Drosophila melanogaster: one gene and its partner. The gene in region 1 interacts genetically with each later gene. Each region holds a gene or a part of one and is shown on either strand. Other genes may lie near its edges.

Region 1 (5,782 bases):
TCATGACCTGAAATGCAGCAATATTAGAATTGCTTAGTTAGTTTAGATTTAACATCTTAATTTAAGCCCGCAGCCCCGGCGGTGTTTTGTATTTTGAGATACAACTTTTCCCGCAGAACCTTTTTCATCTGTTGCCAAAACTAAATCTAAACCATTTTAAACTAGAATACGTCTGTGAAATGAACCAGGTTTGGGTGTTTTTTAAACTCATCGAGGTGTTGCTGGGCAGTGTTTGTATGTTTTTCCACATACGCGGCTCATCCTACTGGCCAGAGCGTACTCCTCATGTGATCCTATATTGTGCCACATTTTCGTCCTTTACGGCGCTCGCCGCTCTAGGCGCGTTCCGACTGCTATTGGCTAGGAGTACGGTGCTCTCCTCCCAGCTCCTGCTCACACTGAGTGCCGTGCTGTCGCACTATTTCTGCGGCGTGCTGATAATGCGCACCGCCATGCTGGACCCTCACCTGGCCTTCATCAATTCTACCATCGAGTATCTGGAACATCCGCACTTTGCGCACTGCAAGCAGCAGAGCATCGCTGCGCTGGTTACTGGCACCATGTACCTGATGCACATGTTCCACGTGTTCGACCTGCTGATGCGCATGGAACCCGGCGACTGGAAACGTCAGGCGACTGGCCGTAAGTACTTTGAGGGAACAGAGTCTGGTTCAACCGGGCTATTTGTGCTTTCCAAGCCAGTGGACGACTTTCTATGCAAATGCTGCAGGTGCTACTATAAGTTGGCCAATTCTCAGATCCTGTACTTCCGGCCGAACGCGGAGGTGGAGCAGCCGCACTTTATAGTCCGCATGTGGCAGTTCATTGGGGATGCGCGTAAAAAGTTCTTTTCGCTGCATCAGATCGAGAGTGACGAGAGTTTTCTATCAACGCCAACAATAACCACCAGTGAATCGGATATCACACCGGTGGACACGGAGTACAGTGTGTACATGGAAGAGCAGGCCAATAAGATGCGCAGGTCTGCTTCAGCCTGGCGCGGCTCCAGCGATTCCTCGAGCTTGTGGGCCAAAATCGAGGACAGGAGCACTGTTAGCCTTGTTTCAACTCGGTCAAGTGAGAACAGCGAGGCCACAATGAAACCCATTCAAATGGATCGGAAGCTAGCCCGGCGATCTTCCATGTGGGCGGACACTGAGAAAAGGGAGAAATCGGAGATTTTGCTGGTAGAACAGGGCTCTAGCTATTCTCGGCTCAGAACTTTAAGCAATGCTGAATTGGTCCATAAGCCAAGCGATGCGGGAGAAAAGGAACAACAAGTTCCAGATGCAGCCAACCCAAATATTACAAATGAAGAAGCTACGAACTCACACATCGAATTCTCTTTGAAGCCTGGAACTGAGAAAACTTCGTGAATTTGATGACGACTTTCCCTAACGAAAATTGTAGCTATTGAAATTTTTTGTTTTGATTACGTCGATGTATTTTTACCATAAGATACTATAGCAGTTTATAAATGAAACATACCTGTATGAGAGATACGTCTCCATTGGCCAACAAATTGAGGGTAGCCAAAAGCATCCATCCGCTGCTGGTTTCCTCGGTGGTTTCCACCTCGAGAAACTTGACTATGGCAATGGATGCCGCCTCTGTGCTCTGGTTGGAGGCGCGCTTGCGGATTTCGCTGACCATGAGACGGGACACTTGCTGGCAGAAGGCGACCACGTCCCAGAACTTTTCGCTCATGTCGTTTGACGGACAGCTGCTGAAGACCTGTAAGAATGGGGAGTTAGTGGCCTATTCCTCCATACCGACTGATTCACTCACTTTGCAGAAGAGGGGCAGCATCTCGTAGAGCTTGTCATCGCGCTCCTGTTCGCTCAGCGGCTCCCGCGGATGAGTGTATTCGTTGAATAGCTTCTTTAGCGTGGTGAGGCTCACTTGGACGCGGGCGTCCATCAGCGCCTCCTCCGCATTCCGTCCATTTGCAGCGGTCGGTGCACCAGCATCCGTTCTGCTGCTCCCTGGTGAACTGTTGTTCGCCGTCGAGGTTCCGCTACTGCTGCCGCTGACGCTGCCTGCGCTGGCCGCTCCGCGCAGCTTACGCATTACATTCATCTTTGTGTTTGTTGATTTGCGGTAAGATTAATCTAAAAGAGAGAAAATTAAGTTGACTTAATACAAAATATAAGACTAATCTAATGGCTGTACTATGAGGAATGTCATTGATTTTTTTGCAAGGGGGTGGCACTTTCTACATGTGTTTTAATAATGGTGATTCACTTGTTTACAATGTTATGCCGTTTAAAAAGATTATATATTATTCGATAAAGGTGTAAAAAGATATTTCATAGTATTTTGAAACTTTTTACTGCTGTAGTTTAATGAACTTTCCCACTTTCATGCAGGTTTCAGTTCAAAACGTGTCGCTTCGCATTTAAACATATGTTTCCATAGAACCTGTGCTTATTGTAGATATTGTATCTTTTGAACATTGGAGGTGAGATATTTTGGCGATTTATTTGCACAGCACTGACACTTTCAATTGAGTGGCTTCCAAATCACAACCGCGCACAGTGCAGTTGGCGTTATGGCTTGTTTTCGCAGCTATTCTATTTCTGCTGCCGCCGCCTTAATTAGCGGCCGCTGGAGGTGAATCACACGAAAAGTGCGATCATTGTATTCGGTGCGAGTATTAACTTTTCGCGAGTGAATGAACGTTGCCTCTGTCGCCGACTCGATTCGATTCGTACGCCTACATAGCGAGCAAGCGATTAACCGATAGTGGTTATTATTCCATATATTCGGGAAATATTTACATTTTGTGCGAGACAGCTGTTCTTGGTTTACTTATTGCGCACTTGTTTGTTTACTCCAACTCCCTTTGAAACTACCGACTATCTGACCTCTCTTTTCTGCCAACGCATTTGGTTCAGCTAACGGCCGCTCTGTTGTTGCTTTTTCGTAGTCCGCTTAGCGCTCTCTTTCGTGTCGCACTTTGTTTTGCTCCAGTCAATCGCGCCTCACGACAATTTTATTGATTTTTCTTCCTCTCTCGCGTACTCTCACTCGGCCTCTCTGCCCGCCACCCACCCTTGAACAAACCAGCAGATAGGTCGAATTTGAAAATTTTCACATGCACTTTTCCGGCTTATTTCGTGCAGCCGTCACTTACTTTTGCTATCCGTCGCTAGCATTGTGTTTCCCGTGTGAGTTTTCACTATTTTGGGCCCTAAATGCACTCGTTTTACATCTTGTTTCACGTATGAAAATATGAACCAAATTTTCTCCAGCTTTTCGTCTGTACTCTCTTTTCGTTATTCTGTCGAGTGTTGCGTAGCGCTGCCAGTGGTATCAGCTGTTCACATTTTCCACCACCGCAGCCAGTGCTCATTAAGACCAAACGCCAGTGCTGCATTTTGAATTATGATCGGCGGTCTAGCTTTGGCATTTCAAATTCAACTGTACTGATAAGCAAATAAACAAGACCGATTTGTATTAATCTACTTCATTTTATTATTTTTATTTAATACAAAATCTTTTGTATGTCGCCAACGATGTGCTTATCTTCAGATTGTATATATTAGATCGCTTACTAAACTAATGGCAACAGTTTAATAGAACTAAACTGATTTATCTCATAAACTTAGCATCTAAATTGATACTTAATTAGCACTTACTTAATGTTCATGTGTGCTCATAATTAAGTTCATTATTGTTAATAATATTATATGAGTGCTTTCGCATCTCGGCTAACAATTGGTATTCTTAGGCCATTGGCCATTAATTTCCAAATTTCTCTCTCGCCCAATATTCGCATGAGTGTGAGATTCTTTATTGATTCTGGCTAGGGGTTATTAATATTTGTGTTTGTACTTACAGTTGTTATAATTGTCAGCATCAACAGATAGCTGTCGGATATGACAACAAATTTATTTGCATATTGATTGAACGAACACCCGATGGCGAACTTCATGCGTTGATAATGATGCTATTTGCTGACTCATTTGTGGCAGAGAATGCTGTAAGTTTATTGGGATTGATTGATTGGTAAGGCCATTAAATGCCACGCACGTCCTTCTGATCTAATTTCCCTGTACCCGAAACCAATTCGCTGTGTCTCCCCATTTTAATGCGGATAAAATTTCGTTTTTGAATCAATTAGGGGTGCAAAAGAATAAAGGCGTGTCGTGCTAAATATTTAGTTAGTAGTTATCCCCATGACCAACTGCCTCGCTCCCCAAAAATAGTTTACCTTTGGGCGTTGGCCCCGCCACGCCCACTGACCCCTTGCGTGACTGCCCGTATCCACCCGCTCCCACAGTCCTCTTCAGTTTTCCAGCTAGCCAGCCAGCCACATAAGCTAAGCTCGGAGTTCCCTAATGCTTGTTTATGTGGGAAAGCGTTTGGGATTGGCACTTCTCCAGGTATTATATCTTCCCACCCAGACAGGTACTTTGCGCACTTTCCCGCCCGACAAACCCCCCACCGCGATTTGTGGGGCAGGGTTGTGGGGAAAGTCCTTTGTCTGCGGCAATATTCTAATGGATTTTTCCGTTTCAGTTATAAATAGAGGCCCCCTACAACTGACAAAAACGGGAACAATATCTCAGGTGCCAAGAAGGGGTAGACCAGTAAAATGATATTCGGTAGATTGATAGCGCACTAAAAAAAAAAACTCGTGAAGTTGGCGCGAACATTCTATTTACATACAAACTCTTATGAGTAAAGTGACATCAGCCTATTTCATCCGCTTAATCTTCCTTTAAAGGTGAAGTGCAATACCCAGCAAAATTTTAAGTGGATTTTTAAGTGAATTTTCCGAGGACCGCATATGCTGCTCGAGGCGTTTCCGGAAAATTTAAAAGTGTAACCCCAAAAATCATTTGCACAGCATTCATGGGGGACTCATTAGGCGGGGCTTCCCCCTTTCTGTCGGAACGAATAACTTTTATTTTTCGCCCCAGAGTCCTCCACTTCATCACGACGCTGTTGTTGACAATGAGCGAAACATTTGCGTATCGAAATTGGCAAGACCCCGGGCGGCGGCCAAGGATATTCCGGCCTCCACATTCCCGTAAGACATGAATATTCATCCTTTGGCGGAGCGAGTCCCAATCGAGCAAGAAGATGCTTCAGGTTGCCGGGGCTTTTGGGATTAACATAAAATTTCAGTTGATTGTGTTTTGGTGAAGATTTTTATGGGATATAAGGGATTTTATGGGGCAGCTAACTTGTTGGCCTCGATGCCTAGTGAAATCTCAACGGGCCATAAGATTGATGGCAATTGCTTATACAATGGCCAAGGATATTTCAGCTTTATCGCCCATGTGCCTGAGTGAGTGGTTAAGTGTTGATGTGGATTTTTAAATTTGACCATATTTAAATGATAAAACTATTAGGATTTTTGAATACCCCCCAAATTGTAGAGTAAAAGGGTATGTTTATAATCGAACTGGAAGGAAGTCGTATAAAATGTGAGGGCTCTTCACAAATCCTAGCAATAAAAAAAAAACACTGATTATTCCACTGCAAACTGTGTTTTACGATGGAATTCGGCCATGGTGGTGGGACAATATGAAAGATTGATGAGCTTTCTTTGATGAGCTCCCGACAAGGTCGTTCCACTTTTTATTTTGGGTACGGTGTGTTCTTGTTGATTCTTTGCTCTGAATGCGAGTATTTGCCTGTGAAATTTTTCAAGTAAATATGAATTGGGTAAATAGCAGATAAAGTGCTTCTCGTGCTATAAAAGGAGAAAACAACGACGAAAGGAGGCACAGTTTCGCATTGATTTCATAATGCATCGATTGGTGGTCAT
Region 2 (4,902 bases), on another chromosome or scaffold:
TACAGAACTAAAGCTCTATAAGGCGCCGTCGCACGGCATGGAACTGGGCGGAATGGCCGCCCTATCCGGACACTCCGACGAGGGTTCCGATGGATCCGATTCCGAGGAGATTGATCTCACCTCCGGCGCCTGTATCGATTTCTCCCAGAGCAGCAAGCTCCAGCAGCAGCAGCAGCAGCAACAACAACAGGGAACTCAGGGGGCGGCGGGATCAGCGGAGGCGAATGGAGGCCTGTAGACGAGGACTTTTATCAAGATACGGACAGATATAAAGATGCGGACACGGATACGAATGCGGATACAGATACTGAAACTTTCACTTGTACAGTGCTCACTCCAATAAAAGATTCGAATAACCACTTCATAAGCATATCCTAAACATCTGTATGCGTATCTAAAAGTGGTTTCCTTAGGTGATGAATTTCTAAAACGGACACAACACATTTTGAATATCCTAAATTTCAAATTCGAGCGCAATCTGTACACATAAATATGGCGATGTATATACAAAACGGACATTTAATGTACACTTTATTTAATCAATTACATCTGTTTAGCAATAAAAAAAAGATATATGAAACCCAGTATCAAGTTCTTTCTCTGTTTAGATATATATTTATATATACATTAGTATATACATTTCTATTATATTTTAATATTCAAATATTACAAGTAGGAATATTTTTTTTTTTAATCCAATAGATAAGATCACTTTTTAGGTTTTTTATTGGATTTTTTCTTACAAGCAACTGTGGAAGTATTTTGAAATTGACTCAAATCGGCAGAAAAGAGAATCTGAAATAATGATATTATAAGAAACACACAGACTAAATTGCAACTTTCAGTGTACTTACAGCTTGAGCCCAACCGGCATACTTTCCGTGTAGCTTTTGAAAATGTTTCGAGACCTCTTCGTAAATCTTCTTGGTTACGTTCTTTTGGCCGGTTAGATGTGGCAGGTAGTAATTTTGGGCAATTCTGTAAATATGAATGTCGACGGGCACTGACTCCAAGTGACCCATTGACATAAGGCAGATGCAATCGGCCACTTTGTATCCGATTCCGGGTAGCAGTGTCAGCTCCTCGCGAGCTTTTTCGAACGGCATGCTCTTTAGGCTTATGAACCAGTTTTGTCCCCCCTTTTTCTGGATCTCTTGCAGCGTTTGTGCTATGAACTTGGCCCGATAACCGAACTTGGCAGCCCTTAGCTGGGCATTAAGATCCTCGCATGGGATGTCGTGGAATCTATTTATCGTGGGAAATGTATACGCATCGGCACCATTGAAGTGACCAATCTTGGTGCCAAATGTAGCGCAAAACCATTCAATCATAGATGATATGCTAAGAAGAAACCAATTTACTGTATTTAATGATGGGATTCGCATTTGATTGAACCACCTACCGCTTGATGTTATTGTTCTGACTGCAAAGGAAGCTAAAAATGTTTTCGAACGGCTCCTGAGAAAGGAGGCGCACAGGCTTACTCAAGAACTTCACAAAGTTATCATCTTTGCTTAACCAATCTTTTTGGTTGACCTTTAGGTCGAAATCAACACGTAGGTAGTCAGATATCAAGGAAGAATAGTCCTTCGTGGCCAAAGGACTGCTGGTTCCGTATGCCTCGTAAGTTATGAAGGATTCTTCTTGCTGGAGCACCCAGTAGGTGTTGAACACCACTCCGCCATATTTCGTTCTATTACCATCGCATATGGATCGCCATCTGGCATGTAAAGTTGTTTTGAGTACATATGTTCATTATTAGTATGGATAGCGCTTACCGGAAACTCTGTCCTCCAAGCAAAGTTCTTTCCAAATCGCATTCTTCGAGGGATAAGCCTATGACACCCCGATCCTGTAAAACAGCCTTCATGTTTGAAAAAAGGCGCTTTTTATGGAAACCTAGGTTATGAGCCAGCATCCGGTTTTATAAACAACTTAAGCCGTGTTTTGGCATACTTAACAATAGTACTTTGTCACGTTTAAATAGTAAACCACATTAAAACTCGAGTTTAAATCGAAAGAAACAAACTCGCTGAATAAAATGTGTTATTGCTATCAGCTGTTTAGCATTTGTTTACCGTTCGGGGTATTCACAACATTCTACTTTTGCTTAGACGCCAGTGTTGGAAAATGTAAATTTTCTGTTCACAGCTGCACAATAAAGTACCAATAAATGCAGCAATGTAGACGAGGGCTTCGAAAAATGCACCTAATTGAACAGTTATATAGTCAAGCCTGTTGCCTTGAAAGGAAAAATAGTTGCAGTATTTTTCATGTTGCGTTAAAGCACGCAGTACGAAATTACCTTTAGGTATAAATAAGACCAGGTACATCCCGTACATGAAATATCCCGATTATATTATCGAACCATATATTATCGATAGCAGACGACTAATTTGATTTGCAAAAATTGCACTCCAACAACAATGATTTCTATCTGCTGTTCTCGTTTTTCATGCATTTTATTTTTGCTGTTCCTGATCTTTTCCCTCGTGCTGAGCTACATATGGTGGAGCCCGACGAAAGGAGGAACCAATCCGGAGGTCCTGCCGGTCGTTCTGTGGCACGGAATGGGCGACACCTGCTGCGTACCCTTCAGCCTGGGTGCCATTATGAACCTGATCGTGGAGCAAACAAAGGGCGGCTATGTGCGATCCCTGCAGATCGGCGGCAATGTTTTGATAGACTGGCAGAGCGGCTTCTTCATACATCCCAACGAACAGGTGGATTACGTTTGCAAGCAACTACTGCAGGATGAGCACCTGGCCAAGGGATACCACGCCATCGGATTCTCGCAAGGCGGCCAGTTTCTGCGTGCGGTTGCCGAACGTTGCCCGAATCCGCCAATGAGGAACCTTATCACACTCGGTGGGCAGCACCAGGGCATCTTCGGACTGCCCATGTGCCCCACCTTAACCGAAAAGCCCTGTGATTATATCACGAGGCTACTGGACAACGCCGCCTACGCACCGTGAGTCTATCTGTTGTTAAGGAATCCTAATATAATATAATTCCTGGAATTTACATGCTTATTAATCCAACACCACCATGTCGCCATCCTTGTCGTTTCCGTGTTAATTCTCTCTTCTCTCTTGCATACCATACACCCAGTGAAGTGCAGAAGGCATTGGTTCAGGCCACCTACTGGCACGACCCGATCATGGAGAACAAATACCGCCTGGGCAGCACATTTCTCGCGGACATTAACAACGAGCTCTTCATCAACAAGTTCTACATTGAGAATCTGCAAAAGCTTAAGAAGTAAGCGCGTATTATACTTATACATTTATCAAATATTATTAACCTCTGCTTTGCAGATTTGTGATGGTGCAGTTCCTAAACGACACAATTGTCCAGCCGAAGGAGTCCCAGTGGTTTCAATACTACACCACTGGGCAGAACAAAGTCATCCAGCCCTTTACTGAGAGCAAAGTCTATCAGGATGTACGTATGCATATCTATCACCTAACGTTCTAATATGAAATGTACATTTTTTCCTAAAGCTGGGACTGGACAAGATGCATCGACAAGGACAACTTGTCTTTCTCGGCGTCGAAGGTGATCACTTGGCCATATCCAAGGCCTGGTTTATCCAGAACATAGTGCCTCTCTTACTCGAAAAATAAGATGGTGCCCAAAAAGCACGTATTGTGACAAAAATGTTTGCATAGGTTTAATCCATTCTTCCTATTAACATAAGCATTTTAATATTAATAATGACTTTTTGATACTTTTATACATGTTTAATTAGATGTTTAATAAATTCAGTTTGGACATACAAAATGTGTTGATTTACTGTTCTTATTTTCCTCTTTTTCTCGCTTTCACTGTTTATCTTAATAACTTAAACGTTAGGATTACGTCTCTTGTAGATGTCTTAAGTAGTTGTGCCCGATATTTCTCTGAAATATTCAATGCAAGGCAACCGCGTGCTCCGACTAAAATTCCATACACGTATCCGTATCGTAAATACTCCGTATATATATATATATATATATATATATATATATGTATGTATGTATATGTATGTTTTGTTAGGTATATAACGCTATGTACATGAGGCAAATAACAAAAGCAGCTTACAGACAACCATAGACAGATAAATGTTTACACATAGCTATAGTTTAGATAGGCGATTGGGCGGAGAAAATTGCGCGAAAGGTTGGAAAAAGGAAAGTCAGCGGGAGCGGGAATTGTAGAATTGTATCCAAGTCATATGGCAAGCACATTATAACTTGGACTTTGGATTGGTGTTGCGCGCAAAGAAGATTTCCGGATCCTTGTGCGGACGCTGGATCTCGCGATAATTGTTGACTATCTTTTTGGACTCATCTTTGGGACACGATTGCAAATTGCGAAACACCTGAACCTGCAAATCAAAAGAGGTTTCTCAAATTTAGTGTTCCAAATGAAAGTATTTGGGGGATCATCTTGGTGAGAAAAACACGCACCTGGCCGCGAGACACATAGATGGGGGTGCGGTATATGATCCAGGTGACACTCTCAAAGTACGGCGCCGTTGTCAGCGAACCCTTGTACGTGTAATAATGTTTGCTCAGCTCCTGCAGACCAATCCATGATAGGCAATCTAAAAAAGCAGAGCCAAGAGTAATAGAGTAAGTCACATTTTTAAAACCATACTCGGTGAAAATTGCACACGCACCGGAATCCAGCGATGCACTCGTATGGATCTTTTGAACGATGCGGATGCCCTCGGTGATCTTCTTGAACTCGGGACAGTCCTTCTCGCCGCAGGCCTGAATAAAGAATGCGACGACGGCCAGGCCATCGGGCTTGTTCTTGGCCTCCGTGAAGTCCTTGTACTTCGAATTGTAGTGGACGGCATGGGCCTCCATTGAGTACTTCATGCCCTCCAGTGTATGCTCGCAGCCGGATTCATCG

What was found. A genetic interaction does not mean that the proteins touch.
Region 2: of bchs (region 1) and Ppt1, changing one enhances a phenotype caused by changing the other (phenotypic enhancement), as found in Drosophila melanogaster (one study listed by BioGRID).

What each region holds. Positions count from the first base shown.
Region 1 is NT_033779.5:5,904,642-5,910,423, reverse strand, and holds the start of bchs (blue cheese), read right to left. Parts: upstream 3,256-5,782; 5' UTR 3,137-3,255; intron 2,112-3,136; 5' UTR 2,080-2,111; coding exon 1,789-2,079; intron 1,735-1,788; coding exon 1,489-1,734; exon of another isoform or gene 1,377-1,488; coding exon of another isoform or gene 180-1,376; exon of another isoform or gene 135-179; intron 8-134; coding exon 1-7. Other genes in the region: CG14000 (uncharacterized protein), read left to right, coding at 180-1,376; CG9021 (uncharacterized protein), read left to right, coding at 5,763-5,782.
Region 2 is NC_004354.4:8,687,504-8,692,405, reverse strand, and holds Ppt1 (Palmitoyl-protein thioesterase 1), read left to right. Parts: upstream 1-2,178; 5' UTR 2,179-2,327; intron 2,328-2,359; exon of another isoform or gene 2,360-2,387; 5' UTR 2,388-2,426; coding exon 2,427-2,971; intron 2,972-3,111; coding exon 3,112-3,261; intron 3,262-3,317; coding exon 3,318-3,444; intron 3,445-3,503; coding exon 3,504-3,626; 3' UTR 3,627-3,779; downstream 3,780-4,902. Other genes in the region: CG11294 (uncharacterized protein), read left to right, coding at 1-238; Ogg1 (8-oxoguanine DNA glycosylase), read right to left, coding at 709-795, 855-1,341, 1,403-1,720, 1,779-1,918; CAH3 (carbonic anhydrase 3), read right to left, coding at 4,229-4,369, 4,452-4,588, 4,664-4,902. UniProt on the Drosophila melanogaster protein: Cleaves thioester-linked long fatty acyl groups such as palmitate from modified cysteine residues in proteins or peptides.